Caenorhabditis elegans: one gene and its partner. The protein of the gene in region 1 interacts with the protein of each later gene in a pairwise test. Each region holds a gene or a part of one and is shown on either strand. Other genes may lie near its edges.

Evidence for each region.
Region 2: the proteins of odr-10 (region 1) and gpa-3 interact in a two-hybrid assay, tested with the Caenorhabditis elegans proteins (one study listed by BioGRID).

The regions. Positions count from the first base shown.
Region 1 is NC_003284.9:6,857,282-6,873,080, reverse strand, and holds odr-10 (Serpentine receptor class r-10), read left to right. Parts: upstream 1-7,141; 5' UTR 7,142-7,145; coding exon 7,146-7,340; intron 7,341-7,387; coding exon 7,388-7,551; intron 7,552-7,797; coding exon 7,798-7,932; intron 7,933-7,974; coding exon 7,975-8,041; intron 8,042-8,083; coding exon 8,084-8,158; intron 8,159-8,202; coding exon 8,203-8,328; intron 8,329-8,372; coding exon 8,373-8,550; intron 8,551-8,599; coding exon 8,600-8,679; 3' UTR 8,680-8,766; downstream 8,767-15,799. Other genes in the region: C53B7.6 (uncharacterized protein), read left to right, coding at 4,312-4,449; nep-4 (Peptidase M13 C-terminal domain-containing protein), read left to right, coding at 9,667-9,752, 9,798-9,931, 10,002-10,090, 10,553-10,708, 10,753-11,079, 11,332-11,487, 11,540-11,653, 11,697-11,768 and 1 more; Neuronal immunoglobulin domain-containing protein rig-3, read right to left, coding at 12,529-12,653, 12,700-12,786, 12,838-13,053, 13,436-13,738, 13,789-14,091, 14,148-14,305, 14,513-14,624, 14,683-14,769. UniProt on the Caenorhabditis elegans protein: An odorant receptor which affects chemotaxis to the volatile odorant diacetyl. Specifies AWA neuronal cell fate via the odr-7 pathway.
Region 2 is NC_003283.11:9,352,808-9,368,606, reverse strand, and holds gpa-3 (Guanine nucleotide-binding protein alpha-3 subunit), read left to right. Parts: upstream 1-8,832; 5' UTR 8,833-8,856; coding exon 8,857-8,974; intron 8,975-9,725; coding exon 9,726-10,071; intron 10,072-10,125; coding exon 10,126-10,254; intron 10,255-10,300; coding exon 10,301-10,430; intron 10,431-10,484; coding exon 10,485-10,638; intron 10,639-10,684; coding exon 10,685-10,861; exon of another isoform or gene 10,862-10,875; intron 10,876-11,536; coding exon 11,537-11,544; 3' UTR 11,545-12,028; downstream 12,029-15,799. Other genes in the region: ttr-49 (Transthyretin-like family protein), read left to right, coding at 12,102-12,243, 12,593-12,975; ttr-40 (Transthyretin-like family protein), read left to right, coding at 13,141-13,288, 13,718-13,857, 13,904-14,038; srx-46 (7TM GPCR serpentine receptor class x (Srx) domain-containing protein), read right to left, coding at 14,110-14,278, 14,327-14,457, 14,507-14,813, 14,856-14,999, 15,046-15,206, 15,274-15,315. UniProt on the Caenorhabditis elegans protein: Guanine nucleotide-binding proteins (G proteins) are involved as modulators or transducers in various transmembrane signaling systems. Promotes transcription of 3',5'-cyclic phosphodiesterases pde-1 and pde-5, leading to reduced cGMP levels in sensory neurons.

The DNA of each region.
Region 1 (15,799 bases):
AATAAAGATTATTAAGGCGAAAATGTAAACTGGTTCCGTGAACCAAATCCGTAATTTTTTCCTTTCCATTTAAACATGAAAAAGCTTCCTGGTACCACCAAAAACAGGCACAAGGGTCGACCTGCGTATGTAGTAGACCGACACCGACTGCCCGCTCTGGTCATACATGTCGGAAACTATGAACTCACCTGCTGAACAGCGACTTACCGTTTAAAAGCGACATATTCAGAATATGACAGACGGCCTCATGGGGGAAAACATAGCGTACGTGCTTCGCACTTTGGAATAGTAGAAATGTGGGGCGGGAGGGTGGGAAACCAACACGTAGAATGATGACAATCCGCCGGTGCGCCGAGGAAAGATTTCGTCGCGTCGGGACCCATCGCTCACTAAAGTCGATGCGCCTTTAAGCTGGCGCTACGATATTCGCTCCGCTTTCTCGGGGAAAACATAAAATTCTAGTTTCGCTTCGCTCTCCGAGAATTAGTTTTCCCCGATCAAACTCCGCTCTAAAATGTTAAACTCGCGTTATATGGTATTACGGGTTTATTGTTTGGGATTTAGTGTGGTATAGGGTAGAACAAGCAAAGCCGGGGGCTAAAGATGTAAAAGACTTAGTGTCTCGTCCATCCGATTGGTGAAAAACCGATATGTCCACCACATAAATTTCTAACCAGATAACAGCCCTTCAATACCCATCTCAGTAAAACACTGATCGTTACCCAGTAGAAACCTGTGCAGTAGAAATAATTCCCATTAAAGGCGGGCCACAATCTGTCTGAAACTGTCGTAAAGTATCCATACTAGAGCCAATCGTCTCGGGCTACTTCGACTCACACCTGAATAAGTCCTGACAAGGAGAATAGCTAATTGGAAAACAAATTACTCAACAACCTGCGAGTATCCTCCCCAGTCTTGAGAAACTCTTACGAAACCTGAGTTACTCTTACATAGCCCTGCATATCTCTTACGTAATGGTAGGTGACGGAATATGATTCGACATTAAAATACCTGGGAATCGCGTGAGCAACGAAAGCGATGAAATATAGAGCTAATTTTACGTATACCGGACCAATCGATCGCCGTATATAAAAGCCGAGCCTTGATGTAGCAGACGACGAATAGCCGTCTTTGTGCGTAAACTCGATATAACGTTAGGTCGTCCGTCTATCAAAAAAGGATAAACACTGAAAACAGAATGAATAGCGCCGGAATTCCACTCCGTTCCTGTCTAACCATCTACATAAACTGCAGCGATTGCTTCGTAAACTTGCGCAACTCATACGTAATCTGCGTCGTCGATAGCGTGAGAAGAAAAAAGGTTGAACCGGATGTCATGAAAATCGAAAAAGTGGGCGATAAAGTCTACACGGAATACACAGCTACGCAATTGCAAAACGCGCGGCATAACTAAAGAAAAATCCTCTCCTTATACGCTTCATCTTGAAATACCTGACGACGATTAACCCGGAGCTCGGTAAGATAGAAATATCGGATCTTCTGGCTATTTGTGCAAATACAAGGTTTTCCGAGGATCCAATTGGAAATCGGACTCCCAGTATGGTCTAGTGCCACTCTAACGTAGACCTGATCCACTCTTGCGTAGACCTGCGTGAATCCTTCGTAGACTTGCGCTACTCCTTCGAGGACCTGGACGTCTTCTTTGTAGGCTTGCTCTACTCTTCCGTAGACTTGAGCCAATCCTACTTAAAACGGTAGTAGAAGATGAAGCAGAAAAGAAGAACGGGATACCTTGAAAATCCGACTAAAAACGGAAATCATTGAGACTCACGGAGTCGACTCGTACTCATAAACACTCAGACCTGGCTCGACCGGTCAAAAGAAATGCGATGGAAACGCAAGACAATATATCTCACCCGACGAAAGATGTCGCATTAAACTGATAAGAAGGCCTGCCGGGGCCTGAAATCGTACTTTCGCGATAAAGAATTGCTCTTTCTGCGATGTGAACTCCGGCAACGTGGTAACCACAATGAAAAACATACATAAAATTCGGGTCGCCCGTTTAATGCGACATCTTTCGTCGGGTGAGATATATTGTCTTGCGTTTCCATCGCATTTCTTTTGACCGGTCGAGCCAGGTCTGAGTGTTTATGAGTACGAGTCGACTCCGTGAGTCTCAATGATTTCCGTTTTTAGTCGGATTTTCAAGGTATCCCGTTCTTCTTTTCTGCTTCATCTTCTACTACCGTTTTAAGTAGGATTGGCTCAAGTCTACGGAAGAGTAGAGCAAGCCTACAAAGAAGACGTCCAGGTCCTCGAAGGAGTAGCGCAAGTCTACGAAGGATTCACGCAGGTCTACGCAAGAGTGGATCAGGTCTACGTTAGAGTGGCACTAGACCATACTGGGAGTCCGATTTCCAATTGGATCCTCGGAAAACCTTGTATTTGCACAAATAGCCAGAAGATCCGATATTTCTATCTTACCGAGCTCCGGGTTAATCGTCGTCAGGTATTTCAAGATGAAGCGTATAAGGAGAGGATTTTTCTTTAGTTATGCCGCGCGTTTTGCAATTGCGTAGCTGTGTATTCCGTGTAGACTTTATCGCCCACTTTTTCGATTTTCATGACATCCGGTTCAACCTTTTTTCTTCTCACGCTATCGACGACGCAGATTACGTATGAGTTGCGCAAGTTTACGAAGCAATCGCTGCAGTTTATGTAGATGGTTAGACAGGAACGGAGTGGAATTCCGGCGCTATTCATTCTGTTTTCAGTGTTTATCCTTTTGTAGATAGACGGACGACCTAACGTTATATCGAGTTTACGCACAAAGACGGCTATTCGTCGTCTGCTACATCAAGGCTCGGCTTTTATATACGGAGATCGATTGGTCCGGTATACGTAAAATTAGCTCTATATTTCATCGCTTTCGTTGCTCACGCGATTCCCAGGTATTTTAATGTCGAATCATATTCCGTCACCTACCATTACGTAAGAGATATGCAGGGCTATGTAAGAGTAACTCAGGTTTCGTAAGAGTTTTCTCAAGACTGGGGAGGATACTCGCAGGTTGTTGAGTAATTTGTTTTCCAATTAGCTATTCTCCTTGTCAGGACTTATTCAGGTGTGAGTCGAAGTAGCCCGAGACGATTGGCTCTAGTATGGATACTTTACGACAGTTTCAGACAGATTGTGGCCCGCCTTTAATGGGAATTATTTCTACTGCACAGGTTTCTACTGGGTAACGATCAGTGTTTTACTGAGATGGGTATTGAAGGGCTGTTATCTGGTTAGAAATTTATGTGGTGGACATATCGGTTTTTCACCAATCGGATGGACGAGACACTAAGTCTTTTACATCTTTAGCCCCCGGCTTTGCTTGTTCTACCCTATACCACACTAAATCCCAAACAATAAACCCGTAATACCATATAACGCGAGTTTAACATTTTAGAGCGGAGTTTGATCGGGAAAACTAATTCTCGGAGAGCGAAGCGAAACTAGAATTTTATGTTTTCCCCGAGAAAGCGGAGCGAATATCGTAGCGCCAGCTTAAAGGCGCATCGACTTTAGTGAGCGATGGGTCCCGACGCGACGAAATCTTTCCTCGGCGCACCGGCGGATTGTCATCATTCTACGTGTTGGTTTCCCACCCTCCCGCCCCACATTTCTACTATTCCAAAGTGCGAAGCACGTACGCTATGTTTTCCCCCATGAGGCCGTCTGTCATATTCTGAATATGTCGCTTTTAAACGGTAAGTCGCTGTTCAGCAGGTGAGTTCATAGTTTCCGACATGTATGACCAGAGCGGGCAGTCGGTGTCGGTCTACTACATACGCAGGTCGACCCTTGTGCCTGTTTTTGGTGGTACCAGGAAGCTTTTTCATGTTTAAATGGAAAGGAAAAAATTACGGATTTGGTTCACGGAACCAGTTTACATTTTCGCCTTAATGATCTTTATTTGCAGCCACGTTTGTTTTGAGATGAGGATCCCAGTACGTGCCGTTGGACGTTAGACGGAATATTCTCCAACCGTAAGATCTCACTAGATTGAGCTTCGTCTATAATTCGAAGTTTGATCGACTTTTCTTTTGCCTCACAAGAGTTCGAATTGCCCGGTAGAGGTTTGTGGTAGAAATATCAAAACCCCAGTAATTTACGAGAAAATTTTATAATATGCATTAATTTTTCATAATTGACTCATAAATCAATACCAGTCTGAACACGGGCTCAAGTAAGTCGATTACAGTTTATTCTAAGAAAATCGAGATGATTTAGAGGTCCCTGCAGACCAATTGTGAAATGGCCATCTATTTTTCAAATTAATGTAATGTGTCATTTCAGATTATGTATTATATTGCTTCAGCCGACAGTCAACAGAGTCAACGAGGCAGATCACAGGCCGAAGCCCCAGAGTTCTTGACAGAGAAGTGCCCATTCGTTGGAGTGAAGAGCACCCTCGAGCAAGTCGGGACGCCGAGATGACATCGTTTCTCCGGACCCATGGAAGAGAAGAAAAGACGAAGTTTTAGGAACATTGCTCGAAACCGCTCGGTCCGTAAACGACGAAGCCTATTCGTTGCAGTGCTGACGGTAGCAGGGAAGTTGTTTACATAAAATATTAAGAACCGTTAAATTATTTAATAGACACAGTAATTCGGTTCATAGTTTTCAGTTTTCCCCCACGTCAGACACCATCGATCAGTCACCATGTGCCATCGCCGAGCGGACTCAGGCCGTACAATACGAGGAACACACCATACGAGGAACGATCGGACCGTCTACGATACTACTCGGATATATTAATTACCCGTTTTGAAATCTTCGAGGCCCGTTTATCAAATTCTAATTTGGGCGCCACGCGCCCAAATCCCCATTATTTATCACATTTATCACGTCCTATACCACACTAAATCCCAAACAATAAACCCGTAATACCATATAACGCGAGTTTAACATTTTAGAGCGGAGTTTGATCGGGGAAAACTAATTCTCGGAGAGCGAAGCGAAACTAGAATAACTTTTCTTAACCAATACATATTCTACTGTCTATTAATGTGTTTTCTATAGTTTTATTTTCAATAACGTTTATGAAAAAAGGAAAGACACTGTGTCAGTACTACTTTCGTTAAATCTTCACGGTTTGTGCAGATGTCCCTAACATGTTGTCGTCATACACAGGGAATTGAACCAGTGGGTGCCGGCACGCTAATCGAACGCGCTAACCGCAAGGCCACCAGTGTCAAGAGTTTATAATGCGAACCTTTTGTTCATATTCTTCGACACTTCAGTAGTCCCTTGAAAATTTCAATTAAAGGATATTAAGCAGTTTTTTGAAAGGTTGGGTAACTGTAATTTTTGTAAATACCTATACCAATGAATAAATGATGTTTCATTACAGAAAACCGCTAGATCTATACTTTCCAAGTATCAAGTACAGAATTACATCTGACAAGGGAAGTATTTCAACTTAATCCCGGACTTCTGAATGAAACCTATGTCATTTCGAAGAAGACTCTTTAAGTAGGTCCCTACAAAACAATTAGCGGCAGAGGAGCACTTTGACCTGGCAAAATATCGCTCTGAAAACTTTTCAGTGCATTTTTTCACAACTTTCAAGGCCCGTAGAATGGCTCCAAATGTGAATTTTTGTAGATTTTTGATAATTTCTAGGATGCTCAGGGGCCGGAGAGCACTCGGAATTTTTTTGGAATTTTTTAAACTTTTCGAAAAAATCTGAAATTTTTTGAATAAGTCCATGACAAAATTTTTCAGTGAATATAATTTTTTTTTTAAATTCAGAAAAGTTGTCAAAGTTATTTAATATCAAAATTGGGTGTTTTTACACAATGAAAAAATTTTTGAGATTTTTCGGAGTTGCAAAAACAAATTTTGGAAAAAATCGGCACCCGGAGTCGAACCCCAGACTTAAGAAATATTAATCAAACTCGCTAACCACTCGGTCATTCGATGACACTTTTTTTGTAAATGAAATAAATGACAAAAACCAGAAAACGTGACACTTTGATATCTACTTAAATATATAGGGACGTGCGAAATAGCATTGGAAAATGAGAGGACGCAGAGAAAAATTTTCAGAGCGACTTTTTTCCAGTTCAAAGTGCTCCTCTGCCGCTACATTTTTTGGAGGGGCCTACTTAAAGAAGGAGTATCGTCAATGGGAAAATTGTTTTAAAATGTAGTATTTGTACTCAAACTTTCAATTATCGCAAAAGAAAAACGGAAAAAATCCGTTAACATTCAGCATTTAGCCGTTGAAATCGACGAAAGTGGCTGAAAGTGGCTGAATTTGAATTTCGCGCGCAAATGAATCCTAGGCCACCACGCAACTTTTAGGCCATATTCGTAAACAAAATATTGATTTAAATGTAATTTTTCGAACTTTAATTCGCTTTTCTTTCTGGAAAAGTTCAAGAAAACTGGGAAGAAGAAATTGTATTGAGTATTTTTTCAAAGGACAATACCAAAACAAATAAAAATTCGAAAGATCGTCGTGGCCTAGGATTTCTGTAGTTAATTTTTAAAGATTTTTTCGACTTAAAATGCTGAATCTAAGCGGATTCTCCCGTTTTTGTTTTGTAATATTCTTAAGTTTGAGCACGAATACTACATTTTAAAACAATTTTCCCATTGACGATACTCCTTCTTTAAAGGGTCTTCTTCAAAATGGCATAGGTTTCATTCAGAAGTCCGGGATTATGTTGAAATGCTTCCCTTGTGAGTAGGCAGTAAATACATCCAATTTCACATAATCGAAGAGAGATCATTCATTTAGGATACATTGTGTTGTGATTCATGACATTTACTACAACACAACCAGCTGATGTGTGTGATTCAGGTTTTAATTGTAGCATCTTGTGATTGGAATAATAAATTCAATATATTTTCCCAATTCTGAATTTGTGGATACAAACGTATTATTTTTAACTGAATACCTCGTGAAATCAGATTTCAGATTTTGAAAACAATATATCTGACTATAAGTTGCGTATGTAGACAAATTCCAGGAAAATAATGGCTCAAACGACACGCCCCTGGCTTCAAGTTACTATAAAATAGGTTAGGAACAAAGCACATATAACCATGTATTCAGTTTAATTAATTTTTTGTTGGCGGTGGCATGAAATTCTCATAATTTCATTAAGATACCTTACAGCTCCATGTCGGGAGAATTGTGGATTACCCTAGTTGACACAGCGGACATTGTCGGCGTCACCCTCACCTTCTGTGTCAACATTGTTCTTCTCGGACTTCTGAAAACACGTGGAAAAAACTTGGGCACTTATAAATATCTCATGGCGTTTTTCTCAGTATTCTCGATTTTTTACGCCATCATCGAGTTCATATTACGACCTGTAGGCTAAACTGTTGAACTTGAAGTTAATAATGTATTAAATTTCAGATAATGCATATTGAGAACACCACTTTCTTTTTGATCTCAAGGAAAAGATTCAACTACTCCACCAAACTTGGAAAAATCAACTCTGCGTTTTACTGTGCTTGTTTTGCCACCAGTTTTGTTGTCTCAGGAGTTCACTTTGTTTATCGATATTTTGCAACTTGCAAGTAAGTACAATTGTAAAACGGGCTAAGTTTCGTATTTCTTTTGTTAGTATTGCTCTATTAGTACAGTATCCAATAGGAACAGCATTATAAATAAACTGCAAATGATCGGTTGAAAAAATGACTTGTGGAACCTTGCTGTAAAGGTGCAGCACTAATGTAGGATGCAAAACTTGTAGGGGTGGACTATTAGCTCTCTATTATTAGTATACATACTTTTAGATTAAAATACTATAACACCCTTCACAGACCGAATCTACTTCGTTTGTTCAACTTGCCAACTCTTCTACTTTGGCCACTTGGTTGCAGTGTACCCGTGACAATGTGGGCTAGTGTCTCATATTTTTTGTATCCAGATACCGAGTACACGGAAGCGGCTGTCACGTATGAGATCTATGAATTGTAGCTAGGAATTTTTTTTTTCAGCAATGTACTAAATAACCACTATAACTGGATCAAAAAGGAGAATGTATCGTACATTGCATACGTCTATGTAAGTTGATAACACGGAAACCATCAAACTAGATACTTTCAGTACCAATACGAAAACGGAGTAAGGCATATCTACCTCAAAAACTTGCTTGGATGCTTTGTTCATTACTTTGTCATGGTAAGCGGAGATGTTCCTAACATAGTTATTCAACAAGGTTTTAGTCGATGACGTTTGTTGTGATGTTCTACTGCGGATATGCCACGTGGAAAACTATGAATGAACACAAGGATGTATCTGATAGAACTCGAGCGCTACAGAAACAACTTTTCAAAGCTTTAGTTCTTCAGGTATCCCGATCTGAAACTAGAAACATGGTATAAGATGAATTCAGACACTCATCCCAACTATCTTCATGTACGCCCCAACTGGAGTCATGTTCATCGCACCGTTTTTTGACGTGAATTTGAATGCAAACGCCAATTTCATTGTGTTTTGCTCATTTCTGTACCCGGGACTCGATCCACTCATTCTGATTTTGATCATTCGTGATTTCCGAAGAACAATATTCAGTAAGAAGAAAACATATATATTACAAATTGACAAATTGCAAAATTTCAGATTTCTTGTGTGGAAAGAAAAACAGTGTTGATGAATCCCGCTCGACAACAAGAGCCAATTTGTCTCAAGTTCCGACGTGATGAATGTTTTTTGAAATACTGAGAATCGCACAATTGAGAAATTTTAATTTCATTGGACTTGTCATGAGAATGAAGTCATGTTATACAGTTTCAGGATTAAAAAGGATTAAAGGACGATCCGTTCTTCAAGTGCTATGCACTGCGGATCTGGGATTCAGGTACACTGCCTGGTGGTGATCCCTCTAAAAAAAACTTTTACTATATTTGGGCATTTTAGAACTAAAAGAGAAGTTAGAAGCAACTGACTTGTAGATAATGAAAAAGCTGAAAAAAGCTGAAAATCTATAAAAAGAGAACAAATTAGTCTGCTTTCGGTATGTTACCTGCTTATGATCTATGCTTGGCTCAATTTCTGAAAAGTAATCAGACTCTCAGTTTTTTTTTACTTCATCAAGTTGACTACAACATTTAAAAGTAACATGTTTGATGATGGTCGTTTTTATATTAAAAAAAAGGAATGAAGAGATATAGAAAATTATTTGAAAGTGGTAATAAAAATTGAAAACTTAATTTTGATGCTTTTGTGGTGTACAAATTCTCCAACGCTTTAAATGGAAGTTGTTATTATAAAAATGATATTAACTTTTAGGAGCTGTTAGTACTAGAAAGTAGAAACTAGAAAGCACTAGAAAATTTGGCTGATGATACCTTTTTTGTACTTGGCTTCTAAACCAAAATTAAAAAATTAAGAAAGAAACAACAAAATATTTTTAAAACATTCACCATTAAATTTTTGATTGGAACATGGAGCAATTGAACATTGTACGTACAATACAGTAATCTAAACATTTGAACACAAACATTAGGATAGCGGTTTCTTGAATTTGACAAAAGGTATGAGGAATTGAAAAAAAAAACATGAAAAACGTGAAAACTTTCCTTTGATGTCTTTGTTGAATCTTCATTTTCTAATTTTTTTCTATAGAAGTTGTTGTTACCAGAGTCCTATTTATTCGCAAATGTTGCCAGTTACTGTCTTTTTCCGAAATGTGGCTGATAATACTTTTTTGTTTTCTACCGACCCAAAATGCGTATGAACATCCGTTCGATTTTATTGAAAATGCGCTAGAGAAGTACACAATCAACAGTGGAAACCCGCAATATTTATATGTTTTCAGAATAGTGGACTGGAAATCAGATCCCTGTGATGATTTTTACCGTCATGCTTGTCCAGTTGGCAGCATTGAAGACATTATAAAAGTATCGATGCAACCTTTAAAAGATGCATTAAATCATTCGTGGAAGCAGAAAGGTAATAATATTTTTCCTGGCCTGGCGAAGAAGGTATGTACTTTCAAGTTGAATTGAGTTTTTGAGTTCAGGCCAACGAAACGAGGGAAAAGTCTATAATATCAACTTTCGAAGATCCCACATATGCTGCCACTTTTTTTGCAAATTATTATTTATCTATGTAAGTCTGGTATGAAATAAAAAACATGTACCAAGTGTGAGGATCTTGTAGAAACGAACCCTAACGTGAGAACAAGCTAAATGTTGAAGGGAAACTAGCTAATTCACGAATAAATTCAGTTTTCCAACAACTAATCAGTAATTACACTTTAGATGCAATTCCTCCTATCTTCCAACTCAGTTGTTCACTTCCAAGTTTGAGAAAATAATCACTAACTTGTACAAAGAAGAAACATTCAGTTTGTACAATTTGAAAAGTTTACGGTGTAGTATGACCACTGAGGACATAACAGTATTACTCACACAGTACTTTAATACGTCGTCGGAAAGTTTTGTGAGTGTTGCTATTTTTTATGAAACTTGTCAGATTGTTTTACAAATCTCTGTGGAACTTTATTTTGAAGCACAGAGCAATTTGTTTCTAATATTACATACAAAAAAAAACAAAAAAATAAGATTTCAGTATGACTATCAATATAGATTTATCAATTATGTCACTTTTTACGACGGAATGTTGCAACCATTATATTACCACGTTGAAGCAAATGTTACTGACGGAATTAACGAAATTCACCAAATGATGGAGGACATGGTAGAATTAGGGAATATTTGGCTTGAGGTAAACACTGAATGTGTGATTTTATACCAATTTAACATTTTTAGAAAACTCCGTGGGTTATTAACAATAACCTAACCGAGGAAATGAAGAATATTACAAATGCAATTAAAATGCCAGTGTCACTGACCAAATATACCAACTTTATTTACAATTTGCTATCTCCAATAGAAACTGATTTTCTGAATTGTGTTTCCGAATTTGAAGGAATTCAAAACAATACTCTATTTTGCTTATTTTATTCAGCGAAGATATTCGTACGCACACGTGGTAGCTATTTCATAGATGATAACGGCTACAATGCAGAAGGAACAATTTACTTTGGTTTTCCAAATTATTATCATACTACATATGGAAACTGGAGAGCATCAAAAGTAAGCCTAATACTTTTATGTTTTGTATCTTTTGTCTGTCAAATTTTTTGAACCATTCAAGCAATAAAAATACAAGTAGCGTACATTATTCTCTATTACTCTTGCAGTTTCTGCTAGTTTTCCACACTAACAAGCTAATCAAAAAATTAGTCTGCCTTTAATAGTATTGCCGTGTTTAAATGTCGGGCACATCTACAGCTTGATATAGACTTCCATGAAAGACTAATAGAGGAAATATGGACTATTTTTCAGCTGGGATACACAGGAACACGAGTAGGTCATGAAATCGGCCATACTTTCATTGAACACAGTATCAATCCTGACGGTCTTCCGTATTTTTCAAAGCCAGCTGAGGATTGCGTTCAGAATCAATATTTAAAGACTTGCAATGAATATTACGAAGGGGAAGTGAGTATTAAATAATTCAATTTTTCACCTGACATATTGTTTTTTGTTTAAGGTTCCTGATGCTTGCAATACTTCAGACTATACATTTGATGATAATGGTGCTGATGTTTTTGGTCTGCAACTTGCATATGCAATACTGGAGAGAGATTTGAGCGACCAATTGAGAGTGCGTTGTATCACTTTTCTTATTTTGCTATAAACAATTTAAGGAGCAAGCTGATGGTTTAAAAATCACAAACGAACAATTGTTGTTCTATTCATTTGCCTACAGATTTTGCAGGGTTAGTACATAAAATTAACATTTTTGACTGTCTGATAATTGAGGGATCAAAATCCAATACAACAGATGGCTCGCATTCGCATCACAATGTTCGAATTAATGCTGTTGCACAAATGCCAGGATTTCAGCAAGCATTTAATTGTGCAAGTGACTCAAGAATGATGAAGTCTGCAACAAAACAGTGCGTCATTTATGGTAACAATGCTCCGGAGACACGCAAATAGTTGAATGGAGATAGCTGACGTTCAGTTATTTATCGTTTCACTCTACATTTAGTTTTGATTCAAATTTTATTCGCTTGTTTTTAAATTTCATATAAATTTGTAGACACTTTTCATTATTCAAAAATAAAAGTCTTGCTAACACTCTTTGATAAATTGTTCGATAGTTTATGGTATTTAAAGTTTATTCAATAAACGAAAAGCCATAACATTATTACTTATTATGTTTTTAAAAAATCCAAAAACATTTTGAACCGTACATTTTTCAGCTGAACTAGAGAGAACGAACTGAAAATCTATAAAAAGAGAAGGAATTGCGTTTAAAATGCATTTCACGCGTTAATGTGATAATGAATTCTATAATTATTGTTTAAAAGTGCAAAATGAAAGAATAGGAAAATTTCGAGGACGAGATAGGGGATGATATTGATTAATTAGATGAAGTTATGGATAGAAAAATAGAAGATTCACCGATTTACAATTTTGACAATAGAGGGGGAAATGAGATAATGAACTCTAATCACAAAAAAACATCAAAGATTAGATAAAAAGACAGACAAAAAATAACGTGGCAAGGGCAAGAGGAAATTTGCTGTCAGATGCCGAATCCATCATTTCCAAATCGTGATCATCTAACGTTTTTGCACGCAATACCACACTATCTCCTGTAATAGAGTCGTTTACAACTTGTTTCAGAATTATTATTCCTACCAAATCCAGCTTCATTAATCTGTCGGAATCTCCAGACATATTCATGTCCATGTCTTAGCCCATTAATTTCGTAAATTCCATCATCCTCTGTAACATAATTTGAATAAATTTTTGTAATCTAGGTTGAAAATCACTCACTGATATTTCTCTGCATGAAAATTGAGTGACTCTTCCAGTAGGCATCAGAAATATCCTCATCGGACACTCCAGAAGCTTCGGCGGTTCCGGCTCGGAGGTGGCGAATTTCAACGGCGGTCATTGGAAGATCTGGATCTCGATCGATAGATTCTACTTTCCAGATGATGGAGTGCCTCTTGTCCTCGATAAGAGTTACTTTTGGCTCAGCTGGGGCATCTGAAAATGGAGCATTAGTAATGGAAAAAACTGATAAAAGTAGGGCTGGCAATAGGGAAAAAATTGACTTCCAATGGTCTGAATTTGGAAAACCGGACTTTTGTTCACTCAGAATTCGGCAGTTAGTAATCTGAAGGTAACGAATTTATGCCCTGCTTTATCCAGATTCTCAGTGATATGGTCTTTTCATTAACTTAATTGTAATCCTGTAAGATAGTTGTTTCGGGTGCCGTGAATTATCAAACATTTACATCATCAAGTTCAGCACTCTTACTCCGCTCAAACAAAATCCGAAGGCCAGAACTCTAGTTTCAAAAATACAGACAAATTTAAGTGTTCGGCAGGGAATGTAGTGAACATTAACATTCAAAAAAAAACTCACTGGCTTCTCTAAGATGAATTGTATGGTAGGATTTTGCTTTGATATTGTTAGCTTCGCATTTGTAAGTGCCCAAATCGTTCTCATTGACATTGTGAATTTTGAGATGTGCTCCTTGAGAAACTCCGACATTCACAAAAATGTTGAATTTATCGCTCATCTTGATCTCCTCGTCTCCGTGATAAAAAGTGTAGTGACGAACTGGTGGGAAGGAATGTGTCACATTACAGTAGATAATTGCATCACGGACGTGGTTATCAATAACTGTGTACTGCACAGATTCTTCCGTCTCAAACTCGGGAAGGGCTGCAAAATACATTTTTAAGAATAGTGCAAATACTAAACAAATGTCTTACTGTAAACTTCGATGTTAACATCTTTTCTGTCAACAACTGGGAATTCTTCCTTGCTTGTTTCCTGGTGCATCTCAATAGTAATACAAGACACTGTTAACTCGGCATGCTCTTTTTTCAAGCTATCAATGGTGGCTTCATTTCCAGCAATTGTCCAGATTTCTTCATCGAGTGGCTCACCATTTCCATTTGTCATCTGAATCATTGGTTCTTTACCGGATGGCCCCTTAACTCCACAGTCAATTGTGATGGGCTCTCCAAGAAGTGCTCCCTTCACAGTATCTTTATCATTCCATTCAATGGCAGCTGTAAATTTTTAAATATTGTTTTGAATTATTTTCAGTTCAAGTAAAACTTCTTACGGAGTACGACCAATTTGATGGTCTTCTCGAAATTTTCTCCCCCAGCAGTTCTTCCTGTGCACGTGTAGAGTCCGGTGTCTCTCGTGTGAACCGATGAGAAATGTAGCGATGTTTTGCGATGTTTGCTCCCCTTTTCGTTCAAAATCACAGAGAAAAGACTGAAAAAATCTTTGTTTTTGGATTTTTTGTCGTTTTCTGCGTGTAGATTTTTTTTTATGTAACTGGTTTTGAATATCGAATTTCGAGGAAAAATGGGCAGAAAAGGAAGGGAAATATCCTATTCAAGAAATGAAATATAACACTGCTTTTTTCGGCTTTCATCACATTTTTTATTTGTCGAAAAAAAAATTGAAAAGTTTTCTAACCTTGGATTGGATTCTCCGTCGATATTGTTTCCATTAGCTTGTTTCCAAAGAAGATCACTTTTGTGGATTTGTTCGTCACTTTCAAATACACAACTAACCATTAACTTCTTTCCTGAAATAATAATTTTCAGAATATCAAAAAAGTTAAAATTTTTAAATATAATAAAAACCTTCTCTGACTGTGATTGTGTTTGTGTCGTAATCCATGGCTTCTGATGAAATGACGATAGGATTTGCCTCATTGGAAGATGGACTATCTGAAATTTAAACAAAATTAAAACAATTTATTTCCCCTTTCATTGTTAGTCGGAAAGACTGGAAGCGTTTTGGATACCCATTTCCGGTAAATATATAATTAAGGAAGTATGGCGGACCGACATATCGAGTTTCGTCGATGTGAAAATTTTCACGAGTCATCTGTTTCGACTCGATTACATTCATTCGAAATTACCTATCTTATTCGAGCCTTTTAGTCATTTATTTGCACAAAGTGACTCATATTTGGGTGGCAATAATAGAAAAGAAAACAAGTTAGACACATAGTTATCGCGCAAATTTAAGACGTCGGACAAAGTGAAGAACATTTATAAAAACACAACTTCTTAAAGCATTAATGAGCACAGCAAAATATTTGCACTGACCAAAAAGAATCGTCTCAACGAACAATGGAATTAAACGATTATCTCGCGTTCTAACGAATAGACTTCTTTTTCTCAAAAAATCCTCGTATTCCAAGTAATCTACACCTGTAAGGGAGTTTTTTAAAATTTTTTACTATGTCATTTTAGAATCATAAAACTGGGGTTTCCCCACTGGCCATAACTCTTCCATCATTTTGAAAAAATTTCCCTGCCTCCTCGAGCATCCGTTAAAACATCATCTAAATGTGTAAATGCCACAAAACAAATTGTATTATCTTACGCAACTGTTCAAATGACAAATTTCACAACTTGGGTTTCTTATTTACTGTTCACCGAACACTTTTCAAGTATCCCTCTTTTACCGCCATCAATGTGTTGCTCATTTGCTTTTCTTCATCCCGAAAAGGTGTCATTGGACACTGCTAAAATTTGCATAACGGGACACATAAGAACCAGCAGTTAGTGTACCAACAAGAAACAATAGTAATAATGATGTACACTCGAATCTGTTCCTCCCCCCTCCTTTTCCCGTTTACCCCATTTCATTTACCATCTTGTCTTCATTAGCAGTACCAATATGCTAATATTCCGAGGAAGGGGAATAAAAGAGGGGTATTGGGAGTCTTGGGATCATGGTCCATGAGCA
Region 2 (15,799 bases), on another chromosome or scaffold:
TCAAATTGAAGGAAATTTATCCAGCTATCAGAATTCGATAGAAAAATGTACGTATGACGTGGCAGTCGCGCGAAAAGCTCATGTAAAAGAGCGCATCTCGTGTTACCCTACTTTTGGCGCACCCTGTATAATGGTCATTGCCATCTTTATGTATGAAAAAATTTACTATTTTGAAATTAAGAAACTTGCATCAACTTATTATTCTCTTTTGCAGAATAATTTTTCAGCTAACCAATGAAATGTCATAAACAAGAAAAGTGAAATCTCCTTTTATCTGTTTTTTAGTTTTTTCGGGCGTACCTGTTCACACCCGAGAATTCGCTGAAGCCCAGAAACTCCCAGGGCCAACACATCAGGCAAAGACTGTCATCGTTGTCATCAAAACGTGCATAGTCTTCCATTACAATCTCTATTATCAAACTTACTGAAAACCAGTTTTAAAAATCGATACTTTTAAAGTGAAGCGATTGCAAGATAATAACTCAATAAAACAACTTTTTCGTACTTGTGTATTATAAAAAAAACATTTTCTGAAATCGAGAGGTCCCAAGGACGCTGCAGGCCACCATTTTGCAAACAAAAAAAGTTTTTTCCGCTTTTTACCAATTTTAAACAAAATCAAATAAATCATTCTTGTCCATGAACTAACTTAAATTAAAATTTAAAAAAAAACAACAACATTTTCTCAATTTAACAGGTCATAACATAATTATACTTTCTCAATTTAACTAATCATTTCTGCACGAGTACAACACCTACCCACGGATAAGCACAAAGTCTAAAAAATACAAATATCAATTGAAAATCAAATGGCAAGTAGCCTAAAATTTATTTGCCACAATAAATTCTGTCATAAATATGAGAAAGAGGAATTCCAGTTGAAGAGACCTTTTCTTAATAATTATAGCCTGTTACTCACGTGATTGTCTGATAAGTTTTGAGAGTTATACTTCTTCAGATTCTTTTTTTCAATCAAAAAATATAACGAGATCATGTGTTTCAATGTGCACATATAACCTAAACTCTTAATTGTTTTAATGTTCCAGTTTTTACTAAGTTCAAGATTGTCTCTTTGCCACACTTTTAATTTGAATATAGACCCGTACATCGTTTTTATTTTGAACGATTTTCGTAATGCGTGAACCCTTGGTTTACGAAAAATGATATGAAACACAGGTTTACAACTCGAAAATCTGCCAATTTCTGTGTTGGGAGACTTTGCCAATGTTCTAAACGCATCTTTTTTATACTAGTTCCCTATACTACAATTGACAAAAGTTCTTTTTGAAAAATTCTCTATCTGTTGCTGATGTGTCTGAAGTTTACCTGATGAATCTAAGAACTACACAGAATATATACTTTTAATCAGTGAGTTCAAGTTTTTTCTCTTCCTCTTTCATCCATTTCCACTTCGATGATTTTTCATGTGACAAAAAGAGAAATTTTAATAAAAATGAAATAATTCAAATGATTCATCCCATTATCTCTTGAACACGTGGGAACAGGAGTTGTCATATTCAGATAATGAAATTCTCCACCCTCTTTCGTTTAAATAATCTTCGATCAACTCTTGCTCAAAACACACGTTTTGCAATCTTCCGGGAACCAATTTCCCACGTTTTACCTATTCTTGTGATGTATACATGTATTTTTAATATTCTCATCCCAAGCTATGCACATTCTCCAGAAGCCCGCTGATCTTTTGAGCGTCACAAGTAAACTTCCCCACAAGAGGTGGTGCTTGTTCTCAATACACATATATTGTTATCAAACACAGCTAAGAAAGTGAGAGCATGTCGATGAAGTTACCATGACGACCGTTATGATTTACCTGCTTTTTTTCGTTTCGAGTCGTCTTGCTTTGCCAACCTTCTATTGGCTCAGCTCTTTCTAGCCTCCCAAGCCGTCATTCTCATATTGCGACACTTTTTGAAATCTAATCATTTTCTTTCGGTTCACAGCTTTCTCTTAGATCCTGTTAATACATACAAGATTGGCTGTTTTCGTCATAGATTTACATTGAAGATTTATATTATAAGATTGGAATGTTTAAGGTTTTTTGCTGTTATTCCTTCACTTACTGTTTCAGACAGTTGATACCGAAAATTGAAAAGCAGACATTTTGAAAGTCCATGTTACGCAAGCTCTAAACCCCTGATCATATGATTTGACAATAACAACTGGTAATGATGTAGACATGACGAATGAAATTCACTAATTATAAGTCACAAGTAGCATAACAAGAAAAAAGTTCCGTTTTTTACTTAACCAGATTTGATTCATGAACAAATTCTCCTGTTTTTACGATCAGATAGATGGGTTTTAAAACCTGAATCATAATTATTATTCATATAAACCTTTTCTTTTTGAAAATTAATATGATTAGGGGTATTTCAAAAGAAAATAATTTTCATGTCTTATAGTCATGCAAAAACTTTATCATTTTTATTATTTCCAACTGCTGATGTTTTCGAAACAAACCTTTCTAGAAATACCCTAACGGTAAATACGGCAGAATTGCTTTTTAGAAAACTTAGCTATTAAGTCTAGAGAATATTATTATCTCCTTCGTGCCCAAATTTATACAAGAATATATTTTTCGAGTAGATTTCAACTCCAAAATAGAGATAGTAGAACTAATCATGATAATTTTATATGTACATTCGTCACTGTAACTTTTTTAATTGTCTGGGTTTCTGCACTGTGAACTTGATGTCTCACAACTTGTCAGAGGACACTTATCGTGATCAAAAATCAGACACGGTGCCGGCGTCACGAAAATGTCATCGCCTCAAGGATCCTGATCGACACAAATTAACAAGGCACACGGGATATCAGAGTGTACCCTCTTGGTTTGATCTTACGGGGAATAGAATTTAGGGATCAGAAGAATTATAGAAGTTTGAAGAAGGGAGGATATATTATCATCAAAAACAAAGTTTTTAAAAAGTTGTTGATCGGAATAAATACCAAGCGTTATGCTTCATTGAAGTTATTCCAAAAACACCATAAGGTAAATTCCTTTATTGAGAAATATGTTGATTTTTCATTTACCTATTCCTTACTTATCTCTTTGGTTTTTTTTTGATCTGTGAATGAATACAAATCCCAATCTTTATCTTTTTTTACCTTCTTTATTTCTTCTTGACTCATTTTCTAGACAGATGCTACCAAGTCTCTTGATTTTGTGGTTTAATCAGTTATGCACATTTTTCACTACCAACTTTGCATTTTTATTTGAGATGTATGAGTTCTGAGAACACCAGATTAATTTTAATATCTACCACAACTCTGAAAAGGTTGTCCCATCATTTTCCAGATTAAGAAATTATTTTTTAGAACGACGCTTGATCTCGTAGTTTCTTTTGTACCTGAAAACGTTTTTCCCACTTGAAGAATAGAAAAATGCACGTAGTAAATTGAATTTTTGTGAGATATAATCTAGCAATATTATTTTGTTATGTGTTGTTTTTCTCATGGTTATAATAAAATTTTTAACTTTTCCTCGCGAAATTAATTCTGAAAACTTATGGTAATTTTTTGAGCTATAAATTACAGAAAGTCTACCAAGAAATCATAAATGTTCTTGGGAATTTTGGAATAGGAATAATAAATTCTGTCAAGTATAAATCAAATATCAAAGGTCTTGGCAAAGAAAGTTCTCGTATGATTTCATTCAATTTCTAATTTTTCACACAGGATTTTTTCCCAGCTCTGAATAAAAAACGTAAAGTTAATCAAAATGTGAATTCTGAACAAAATTTTATGATTTTTAATACAGTAAAACTTTATAGACTAGCTACAAGTAATGTTTGATTTAGATTCGTTTCGGCAACGTTAAAGCACCTGGCTACATCACATTTGTAAGCTACAGAACGGCAAATCAATTTGAGCATTGTTTCTAATTGTAAGAAAAATTATATTAAAAATACTTATGTACTTAAGACTTAAGAAAAATACTTAAGACAGTTACGAATTCAAAAAAAAAAGCTCTCAAATCATGCTCTCAAACTCGTCCCAATTTGCGTATATGGCTATAGACATATCGTTTCTGTTTTCGGTTGCTCACGTTATCACCTCGATTGCTCAATATGTGTCTGTTTTGATTACTTGTTTCATGTGATTACATTCATTCTGTTAGTGAACCACATAATTATCTTGGGAAAATGAAAGTTATTAAATCAGAATGACAACTTTGAACTATCAATATTAATAAATTTGATCAAAAAACCCCACTCATTCCAGCGTCGTCTCTCCCCAGCTGGAATAGTGTCAATTCAAGAATTTTTCTTATTTAAAGTGTTTTAATCTTTGATCCGTCATTCATTCCCATATTTAATCATCTTCTGAAACATTCTAGAATTTTCGAATACCACGTAATCTCATCGTTACTGCTCATTGAAGCAATATGTCTTGAAACTGAACAAAATGATCTTTTTTCAGCTCTTGTGACGTCACTGACATTGATTTTTCCCCATTTAATTTTATTTCTCTGTCTTTTCTTATTTGTAATAAGTTTCTAGACTAGGCTGTTTTCTAGAAAAGCGTGCGAATCTAATTAAAAACCCAAAATTTTTTGTCTGGAGTTGGAATGATTTCAAATTTTTTTTTTGGAAAAATTGATCGAAATTTCTTTTGAAAAAATATTTGATTTTAATGATTTTTAAAGTCCAACTTGTAGCATAAAATGAATATTTTACTTTTATACCCTCTATCGCCTTTCAGAAAGAAATTAATGTCTAGGATGTAGTTAGTTGCACTTGTTCTATTGATACTCCAAGAAACGAATTGGTTCAAGTATATTCAAAAGCTTATAGAATGATCAACTGAGGGTATATTTTAGTTTGAAAAATGCATGTAGTGTAAAAGTACAATGTAATGCGATCATTCAAACCAGAAATATTCATATGAGTCAACGTTTTGAAATACTTGTTATGTCTGTTATTAAATGGTTCAATAGATTTTTGGTTCTTCCATATTTTTAATTAGAATAGGAAGTTGATTATTTTAATTAACATTTAAATTTTCCGAACTTTTTAATTTTCAAGTTTCTAAAGCATTCATCCTCAAAGTTCCAAGATAAAAGAAACTGGCACGTTTTTAACAGCCAATTTTCCTTTTTTGAATACGAGAGATGCTGGAAGCCCGTGTTTACATGAGGAGCAGTACCAAATTCAAATAACTTTTTTTTCGAAAATGATTAGTTTCAGACTTATATTTTCATCAATGATAGTCTGCAATCTTCTAGTTCATATCTGTATGAAAAGTACATTTAATAAGGCTGATTCAGTTTAGATATCAAAAACAGCTGATCCAATATTTTGACGCCATATTCAAAAGTTTATGCTTCCTGTATACATATTAACACTCTTCTTGAATTTCATTGATTCTTAATCTTTTGCTCTAAAGTATGCATATCCATTGTTTGATCAAATGTTCTCAAGTAATCTTGTTGATTGAACTCTTTGATTTTTTTTGATTAAAAGGGAAAATAATGAAAAATTGATTTTATAGAAGTTGAAGTAAATCTGAAATCACTCAACTTTTTAGGTGGAAAATTAATTATTTCAGTTTCCTATAACCTTTATCAAAAATTCAGCAGTCAAGAAGTTTCTGCATGGCGCGTGAACTTACGAAATTTTAATTTCAAAGATCTATTGAATATGTAGTTGTCTCCAACTATTCAATTTTTCAACGTTAATCTAAATTTCCAATATTAATTGTTTGAAATTCATTCTTTGATTATTTTTCTTCACTTCGTAATTCTGATGAAACTTTTCATTAGATTCTTATTGAAAATTGCATAAGATCTACGAAGAAAGTAATATCAATTGGCATTCTAGCAGGATTTCAATCCCACACATTATTATGTCAGGAACCCTTTAATTTCCTTTCTGACTTCTTTTTATCCATCTCGAAAACGTTTCCTTTGCCTTTTTCTATTAATTGTTTGAATTTATTTTTGTTACATCGTTTATCGGGATTTCTTATTTTTAAGGTATAATTTGATTTCTTTTTTGAGCATGTCTTAAATAAAATAAGTTAGTATTTACAAGTCTATATCAATACTTTATTTATAACATTTTCTTTTTACCTCATTAATTCAATTGAATAATAACAATGCAATGCGGAACAAATTAGAAAAGAAAAGTTGATTTCAATCAAACAAAAAATCAGGCTCCCCTAGTATATGTGATAATAAAAATAAAATAATTCATACTTGCTGGTTGTCCGTGGAGATATGCCTACAACTTATAATTAGCCACGATTTACTATTGAGGAAACAATTTTTTAATTTTTCTCTCATTTTTTAAAGTTTATTTTATGAACTTTCAAGAAAGCTTGTATGTCTAGCTTGATTTTTAAAAAAAATTAAAATTTTTAAAGAGTACATTCATTTGAAAACAATCAATAACATCTGATCTTATCTTATTGTTACCATTTTCTGTGTTTTTCAATCGAAATTTTTTGTATTTATGATAAATATTCCTTGAATTTGGAATCACTTTGCAAAAAATAATTGTAACTCTCTCAAATATCAAATGAATCCAGGAATACTCTTCTACTTGCTTAAAAGAGGTTACAACCAACTCGTCTTGCACCATTTTAATCCAGTACAGGTTAATCCTGTTTCACATTTGAAAGTTTCTGGTTAGTCTGGAATTGCTTTGTAAGATTAATTTCAATCTCATACCGAATTCTATTTCTAGCTATCTTCCAGATGTTCCTATGACGCTTCATTCAAGAAAAAACTGATAGAATACATTTCTTGCTGTATTCTTTGTATCCTTGTTTCATAGTCCTTGCCTTTTTTAATCCCTCATTGTATTCCACATAGGTATTGTGACTGTGTGACGTAAACAGAAATTGCTCTAACTCTTTTCTCACCAATATTTTTATTCTCTTTCATACACTCACACACACGCACCGGTGAGCTCTCACTTCACTGATTTGCACCTGTTATTTTCCGATGACAACGACACCATGCGCCCATGATTTTCAGAATTATGTGTAGCTGAAGGGAGCCATTTTTAACCAATTTCGTTGTTATTTCATTTTTTGTGATTTGATTTTTACGATATTCTTATGGCGGTTGAGAAAAAGAAAATTTAAATTTGGTGGCAAGTAAATGGGTTTTTAGATTTATTCATTTGAACTCAAATAGATAAAATTAATGAAAATGCTGACAAATACAAATTCATAATCAATGTGTGTTAGTTTTGAAATTTGTGAAAAACATAGTTGTCAAGGATATTTGTAAACTTTCTAACAAACTTTTCCGTCGAGTTGTATAATCCCTGGCAGATGATTTTTTTTTTGTAAAACCCCATCAAAATTACTTGCAAACTTAGAAATTTGGGGAAATACATGTGATTTCCCCCGAAGACATTTGATTTGGGACACATTGCGAAAACTCACGTAAATACTAACTTTTTCGTTGTTTTTTTTAAGAAACAAAACAGTTTTTAGAACTTCCTTACAAGTATTTATTCTAGTTGTCTAAAAACATTTTTTTGAAAAACAAAACTTTTTTTGTTATTTTGAAAAGTTTCAATATCTAATTACCCAGTGGAGACTAGAAAATTCATCATTAAAATAAGTCATGTTCATCTTTTTTAAAGTAATATTTAAGTATTTTTCAAATTTTGAATTTTATCAATAAATATCGATCACAAACCTCATTTTTGCATTTCTAAAAGTTAGCGTTTCTAAAAGTAAATGCCGTGGGATATTAAGAATCTTAACACTCTCGCCAACTACAGCTCTATCCTTCCTTGACTACTAAACTAGAACTTTCCGTCACTTGACGCCTCCTGAAATTTTATTTTGCAAATAGATGTTTGCACTTTTCGTACTGACCACTCTGACCTCAATGATCGTAGACGAGGTGATTTCTGATATTATATGTTCATATTGAGAAACTTGGTTCAATGTTCAATTACAATTTTTAGAATCTAACTAATTAGACAAATTTGAAATTTCCCAATCGCACAGATTTTGGTGGGTTGTATCAACCGTTGTAATTTTCACTACAAAAATCAATTTTAATACTCGTATTGATTGTGGACCCTCAAATACTCCTGGAAACATTATGCATTCATTTTGAGTCTATTTTTGTATGCTTCTTTTTTATGTCTAAGCATTCGTCGACATTTGAAATATGCGTGAAATAATTTTCCAGTGGAACTAGAGCTGGGGGGCTTCCTATTGATTTTTGATTGATTTTTGAAAAAGACTTTCGACCACGAATATCAATAAAATAATCTAAGTTTCCGGGAAGATCTGAAACATCAAAAAGAAACGACTGGAACTATTCCATCGAACAATAGTCTATCTTTCGTTCATTTAGATGTGAAATTCATGATGATGTACAAATTGATTCTATTCGAAAGATTAATGTATTATTGAACATTTTCAGCTGAATCGAACATCTTTTATCACTCATTATTATGATATTTGTTCATTTTCAATGCGTCACAGCTTGGTGTCGTTTTGTTGAATTGGCAGCACCATTTCTTGTGAAAAAATGCTTGCTGTCGTCTTTCATTATTGTCGAGGTGAAACAGAAAAAGAAAGAGACACACGAGATATCAACAACACAAAATTCTGAATATCTGACTTTGGCTCTGACCGCCGTCGCCGCCGCCCGCCCGCTAACGAGCATTTTCTCATTTTCTTCTCATTTACCCCGTGTCTACTTCTTTTCTTATTTTTCGTTTCGTTAAACTTCGGTTGTCGCATAATCAGGCCTGCTTTTCATTTTTCACTTTTTGTTTGAACTTTTGGGCTTTTTAGAGTTGTGCTTCATTCAAATCTATATTCAAATTACAGAAAATTATTAGCCAAAGAACAATTATGGGATTATGCCAATCTGCAGAGGACAAAGAACTGACGTTGAAATCAAAAGCGATCGATAAGGAAATGATGCAGAACCATATGTCACAGCAAAAAGTTGTGAAGCTTCTGCTTTTGGGTAAAATTTTAAAACTTATTTTTTGTATTCAGCTTCGCGCAGTCAGAAATTGTTTTACGGTAATCATATGACTCATTGAGAACTTGTTTGACTTTTTGATAATACGCCGGAATCAAATAATTACAAGCAAAACAAAAGTGTCGTGTGAGAAATTGTTACCCGCTTTTGTTGAAAAGTCCAAAAAATTTAATTTATGAGAACGTTGGGATAAAAAAATATTATCGTTTCAGAAGAAATGTTCCCTTCTGTTCTCGAACACTTTTTCAAAAAATTACTTCAAATTTGTAATAACTGTGATTAATAATTCAGAGAATGAAAGAGCTGTGATTTTTAAATACTATATTTACAGACAAAAAGGACAAGTCAGAGAAAATGAGAAATGATCAGTAATAAGAATAAAGAACATCAACTCAATTTTCTCGAAATCATATAAAATAATTATTAAAGTTTTAAAGTTTCTTCTCTCACCCGGCTTCTTGCAAACACTACTTTTTTAACTGCCCGCAAAAATTTTCATGTGTTCTAAATATTAATAATCAAATTATTTATCAAGTTATAATTCTCTTTTGAAGCTTATCAAAGAACTACAAACTACGTAGAACCCGTTGATGTCAAATTTTCAGATATCAAGTGTGCGTAGCCTTAGGTTTTCAGCTGTTTCTTTCATTTGATTCTGAGAATTTAGAAGTTGAAAAATAAATTAGCTGGGGTTTGTGACAAGTTGGCAAAATTAAACTCTTACTAATTTCAGGTGCTGGAGAATGTGGAAAAAGTACGGTTCTGAAACAAATGAGGATTCTTCACGATCACGGATTTACTGCAGAAGAGGCTGAACAACAGAAAAGTGTCGTTTTCAATAATACCCTTCAAGCAATGACTGCAATTCTGAAAGGAATGGAAGCACTTCGAATGACCTTTGATAAGCCAATTCGAGAAAATGATGCAAAATTTGTGATGGAGTCTCATAAAATGCTCCAAGAAGCGAAAGTTTTCCCAGAAGAATTAGCAAATGCCATTCAAGCATTATGGAATGATAAAGCCGTTCAGCAAGTTATTGCAAAAGGAAATGAGTTCCAAATGCCTGAAAGTGCACCACAGTAAGATTTTACTGTACTTCTAGAACTTCAAGATTCACATTTATATTTTTTTAGTTTTCTATCAAGTCTTGATCGTATCAAGTTACCCGATTATAATCCAACTGAACAGGATATTCTTCTGTCTAGAATCAAGACAACTGGAATTGTTGAAGTTAAATTTCAAATGAAAAGTGTAGATTTTAGGTGTGAATAGTTAATGATTCATGAGTTTGCAAGACATGAGTTTCAGGGTATTTGACGTTGGAGGTCAACGATCAGAGAGAAAGAAATGGATTCATTGTTTTGAAGATGTTAATGCAATTATTTTCATCGCTGCAATTTCAGAATATGATCAAGTTCTGTTTGAAGATGAGACGACGGTTAGAACAAGGAAAACTTTATGGTTTATTTGAGAATTGTTTTTTTTTTTGCAGAATCGAATGATTGAATCAATGAGGCTGTTTGAATCAATTTGTAATTCACGATGGTTCATCAATACTTCAATGATTCTTTTCTTAAATAAGAAGGATTTGTTTGCCGAGAAGATTAAAAGAACTTCAATTAAATCCGCATTCCCAGACTATAAAGGTAAGATTTAATTGAACTTTTTCACACTCTGCCCATATATTTTCAGGTGCACAAACCTACGACGAATCGTGTCGATATATTGAGGAAAAGTTTGATGGATTGAATGCAAATCCAGAAAAGACGATTTACATGCATCAGACGTGTGCAACAGATACAGATCAAGTACAAATGATTTTGGACTCAGTGATTGATATGATTATCCAGGCCAACTTGCAAGGATGCGGTTTGTACTGAAATGTTTGTGCCTTTCTCTCTCTCTCTCTTTCTCTCGCTATTTCTATCACTTGGAAATACACATAGGGAAAGCATTTTCAGAAAAAAAACTGGATTACTTTCTGTTAAGAAGTAACCTGAAAATATACTTAATCGAAATTTTAAGACAAAACATGGTAAAGAAGAAACCATGGGTAATGCCAGGTCAATTCTTTGTTATGACCACACTCCGCTTTTTGCCAAAAAGATTCCGCTCTCTTGCTTTTGATACAAGATTGAGTGCAACTCTCCCATCAAAGTCTTGCCAAAACATTGTCACAAATCGGTTACCAAAATTGTATTTTTGAGCAAAAAGTGGGCGACGAGTTGGTAACACGTGTTTTGAAAGTGACTTAAATATTATATTTCAATCGCGTTTTACAACAATACTGTTGAAAAGTTAAAAGCTGAAACGTATCGTAGTAAAATGCAATAGGTTGTCCAGTTTCGCTATTATATGTTTTTCAAACTTTCAAGGGAATAATACTGAAACTTAATTTTGAAGTTAGAATTATCCAGTTTTTCTTCTGGAAACCAAGAATTTCCTTCTAGACTGTCCATAAAAACCACATTTTTGTTTGCGTCTTTCCTGATTTTTCCTCTACACAATTATGTTCGTTTAAACTCACCGTTCTTTTGCTTTCAGGCCTCTAAAATGCGATTGCTGCTCCTATGTGTATCTTCTTTATTTCCATCTCGTCTTCTCCTCAACTTCTTCTACAGAAATCTATTTCCGACGGGTATCTACCATTTAAAAATCATTAATTTATATGTGCATAATCTTTTATTTACTAACACATTCCCATTTCTAGAATCTTTTCTCTCTGGTGGTGTCATCTTTTAGTTTTTATACATTTTCGTGTTCTTCTAGTTTTTCAACAAAACAACTTTTTATGTTTTCCCGAGAGTTTATAATATTCCCCTTCTCATGTATTCCATTCGATGTGGCCGGTGTCTTTAATTATTGTGACACAGTTGAAATTCCCCAACTTCAATAGTCTCTTTAAATATGTTCCCCTTTGAATATATATTTGTCCCTTATTTTTTCTTTTCGAATGTGGTGCAAAAGTGCATAACATTTTCTTATGTAACCCAATTTGATCAAAACCTGAAAACAATAAAAATTTTAAATAAGACAACATTTTGAGCATCACTGATAAAAACAAACAAATGATAAGGAGAACCAAAAAAGGAATCAGTCAGTCAATTAAATGCCATTGATTAGTTATTTCTGTTTTTTGTCTCTTTTATTCACAGTCATAAATTCGCATTCTCTGACTGTCAAAGGACGTCTACTTTGTGCAGAATATCCAGCATCAGCAGTTACAGTCAAGCTTTTGAAGAACTCTGAAAGTGAGTCTATTTATCGGATTTGGTTTATTAATTGACACTTATACTATTACAGAAATAGTTTCCTTTAACTGTTTGTACTATTTAAACATTATCGTAACGGCCAATTTTTCATTTATTTTTTTAAAGAAACATCTTAAACTTTTTTTTTAATTAAAAAAAAATGTTCAAAAAAAACAGTTCACAGTCGAACGATTTTTCACGAATCTCAATAAATTTGAACTCATTTGATAGACGTTTCAGAAAATTGCAAAGTGAAAAATGTAGCTGTAAAACTAAATTTTAATATAAAATTGTTATATCTGTAAATAGATCGCATTTTTTATCTGTTTTCGAATAAATGAGTTTTCAGAATCAATAGTCGACGAAACACATGCAGACAAACAAGGAAACTTTCAGCTGAGTGCAGAAACAACTGAAAAAGACTACGTACCAATTATTGCAGTTTATCATGATTGTGATGATGGTGTAAAACCTGGACAACGGAAACTGAAATTTCAGATTCCAAAGTACTATGTCGGATCTGGAAACACTTTTGATTTGGGAGAATTCAATTTAGAAACTAGAGTGAAGCACAATGAAGAACGACAAAAACATGTGGATAAGTTGAGAATTCGTCGAGAACATTGGAAGAAGATCCGGAATTTGAGAAACGTCGAAATTGAAAAAATAACTACAAAAAATGTTTTTAAAGGAAGAGATGAAGAACCAGACGATAGAAATGATCCATGGTAGTTTGAATTCAATAAATATTTTAATAAACATGTGTATATTGTTCTTATTTAATTTTAAAGTGTTCCGCTGAACATAAAACATTTGTATCTTACGGTTTCAATTTGGAAACAAGTTATAAACATAAATGATTATCAGTATGATTACATTATTTATTGTTTAGTACAAATGAACTATTGTTTTGCATCGATAATTGTAATTTCACTTGGATATTCTCTTGCATTCCGTCTTCAAGGTGTAGCAGTCAAAGGGAAATTGGCATGTGGAGATAAGCCTTGGAAGAATGCAAAAATAAAGTTATACGACATTGATACAAGTTAGTTTTTTATTCAAAGTCTACGTGGCCCATTAAGAACAAAAGAGTCATGAATTGTCAGTAATGTTTGCTAACTGTTTTTCAATATCGAGACAAAAAATTTAGGCCTGGGTTAGGTGCAATTAGTCCTGAAAATTCAAATAAGAGAGTGAGCAAAAAAGAGTCGTTTGATGTGCCCGTTCTAGAAAATGTTAAATGTTTTTTTCATGAACTTTTTCATGAACTAATACTTCAAAAATCGAGCTCAATGTCATCGATAATTTTTGAAACAATATTTGTTTGTAACTTGTAACACAACGTTTTGATTAAATATGTTTAAAATTTCGAATGAGGCGGGTGTTTCTGAGTCATGCAAACGTGGAATGTGAAACTTCAAAAACTTGTGATAAATATGATGCGAACTATATTCTTCAAAATGGATTTTCTTAGATCAAGGTGATGCAGATGATCTTCTCGATGAGAAGTATACTGATAAAGACGGAGAATTTCGAGTTGATGGAACAACACGTGAACTGACACCAATTGATCCAGTTTTATACATTTATCATGATTGTGAAGATGGAATTAAAGTAGGTTCCTTTTCCGGTTGTTAGAATGTCACACTTTATATTTTAGCCGTGCCAAAAGAAGATAACCTTCTTGATTCCAAAAAAATTTATTCACTTTGGGACTGCCACACAGTGGATGGATATTGGAGAACTTAATCTAGAATTGACATATCCAGAACAAGATAGAAGTTGTTATCATTAACTGCTTATATTTACATTTATTGAATTTTAATGAACATTCCGACACAAATATTTCCAGAAAAAGTGTTTTTTTTATCTTGCCGAAGCATTGATTGTGCTAGTTCTCGATCGGAATCCTCCAAGTGTACTTGTATCAACTCTTGATGCATAAAGAGCGGATTCAGTTCTATTACTGATCTTCTTCATTGAACATCTACGCAAGTAAGATCGAAAGTCCGAATTGCATGCAATGCTTATGGCTCTAAAAATCCAAAATTAGATAATTTCCGTCGTTGGCTTGTGATCTTACCCATCGCATGCATGAATGGTTGAGAATGCAAAGGTTGTCATGAAAAAGCGAACCCACGTGTCTTCAACTCTCGGTGAGATTATGAAATAACAAATTAGCTCAATACTGAACAAAACTCCTTGAAGACAGGTCTGAAACCATAGATCTTTGAAATTCAACAGTTTCTGTAGTATGACTCACTTGTACGAGGAAACAGATTTCTTTTGAATTCATCTGTTTACTCTTCGCATCATTTTTCGATTTCTTGTACATAAATCTTGCTTTACAAATCACAAATACATCAATTAGCACAATTATGAAGATTATGCTGATGTATTTACAGAAAATAGCGTAAAATGAGAAACTGACGCATTGATTTGACACATGGTACAAGAACATCCACATTTCAGTGCTCCAACTGTATTTACAACCGCTCAGCAAAAATATGATAACTGATGCAAATGCGTAGATATTGACAGATATTATCATGGGGCGAGTATATTTTTCACTGAAATTGTTTTTTTTTCAGTTCGTAAAATCTACTACTAACTTGTAGGTCTCAAATTTTAGTGGACTTGCGACAACGCAAAGACGATTCAGAGCAAGAAGTAAATGGGAAAGTACTGAAATATCATAACCCAATAGCATTGACAAGGAGATGTAATTGGAGTTTGCTTTTAAAACTTCAAGATCACTGGAAAAAATAAATTATTAAAATTTTCAAAATAATTAAAACTAACAAAAAGACCATTGGTACAACCAAAGTAAAAACTGTGGTGGATTGAAGAGCATCTCCAAACGCTTGGTTCCAAGTAATATAACCAAATGATTTATTAAATGATGAGACTTTTGGAAGAAACAAAAGTACCGTCCAGTTCGTGAAAACTCCAGTTAAGGAAACCTGGAAAACAACTATTGGAACTTCAAGATTCCTTTGTTCAAGTTCTTAGCTAATTAATACCACTTACAAAAAATAAAATTGATCCAACAAAGAGGCTATCCGAAGACATTGTCCGTATATCCAAGTTGAATATCTTCCGTAGAATGGAATGTCTGTAATCATATTTGATTTTTATATAACACCAATCTCATGACAATAACAAGGAACTTAGACGGTTTATTGAAAAATAGGGGTACAGAAATCAGAAACAACGATTTAACAATAGTGGGCATAATTACTTTTTGAATACACGGTTACCGTAGAAAACAAATTTTTCACCGAGCTTTATATAGTGAATCAGTTGACGTAGAGACATGTGTATTGATACTAGATATCTAGCATGTCTAGGAGAAATAACTAAAAGGACTGTTGGATCATAAAGAACATTCTGTCTAGAAAATGTCTAGGAAAATAAGAGATATTAAGAAACCGTCTGAGAATGCATATTTTCTGGAGCAAAATTAGCGGGAGCAGAACATAATCTGGCAAAAAGAGAGACAGAGAAAGATTGTTTCGCTACAAAATATTTGCGCGCAAGAGCGTTAAGCATTCTA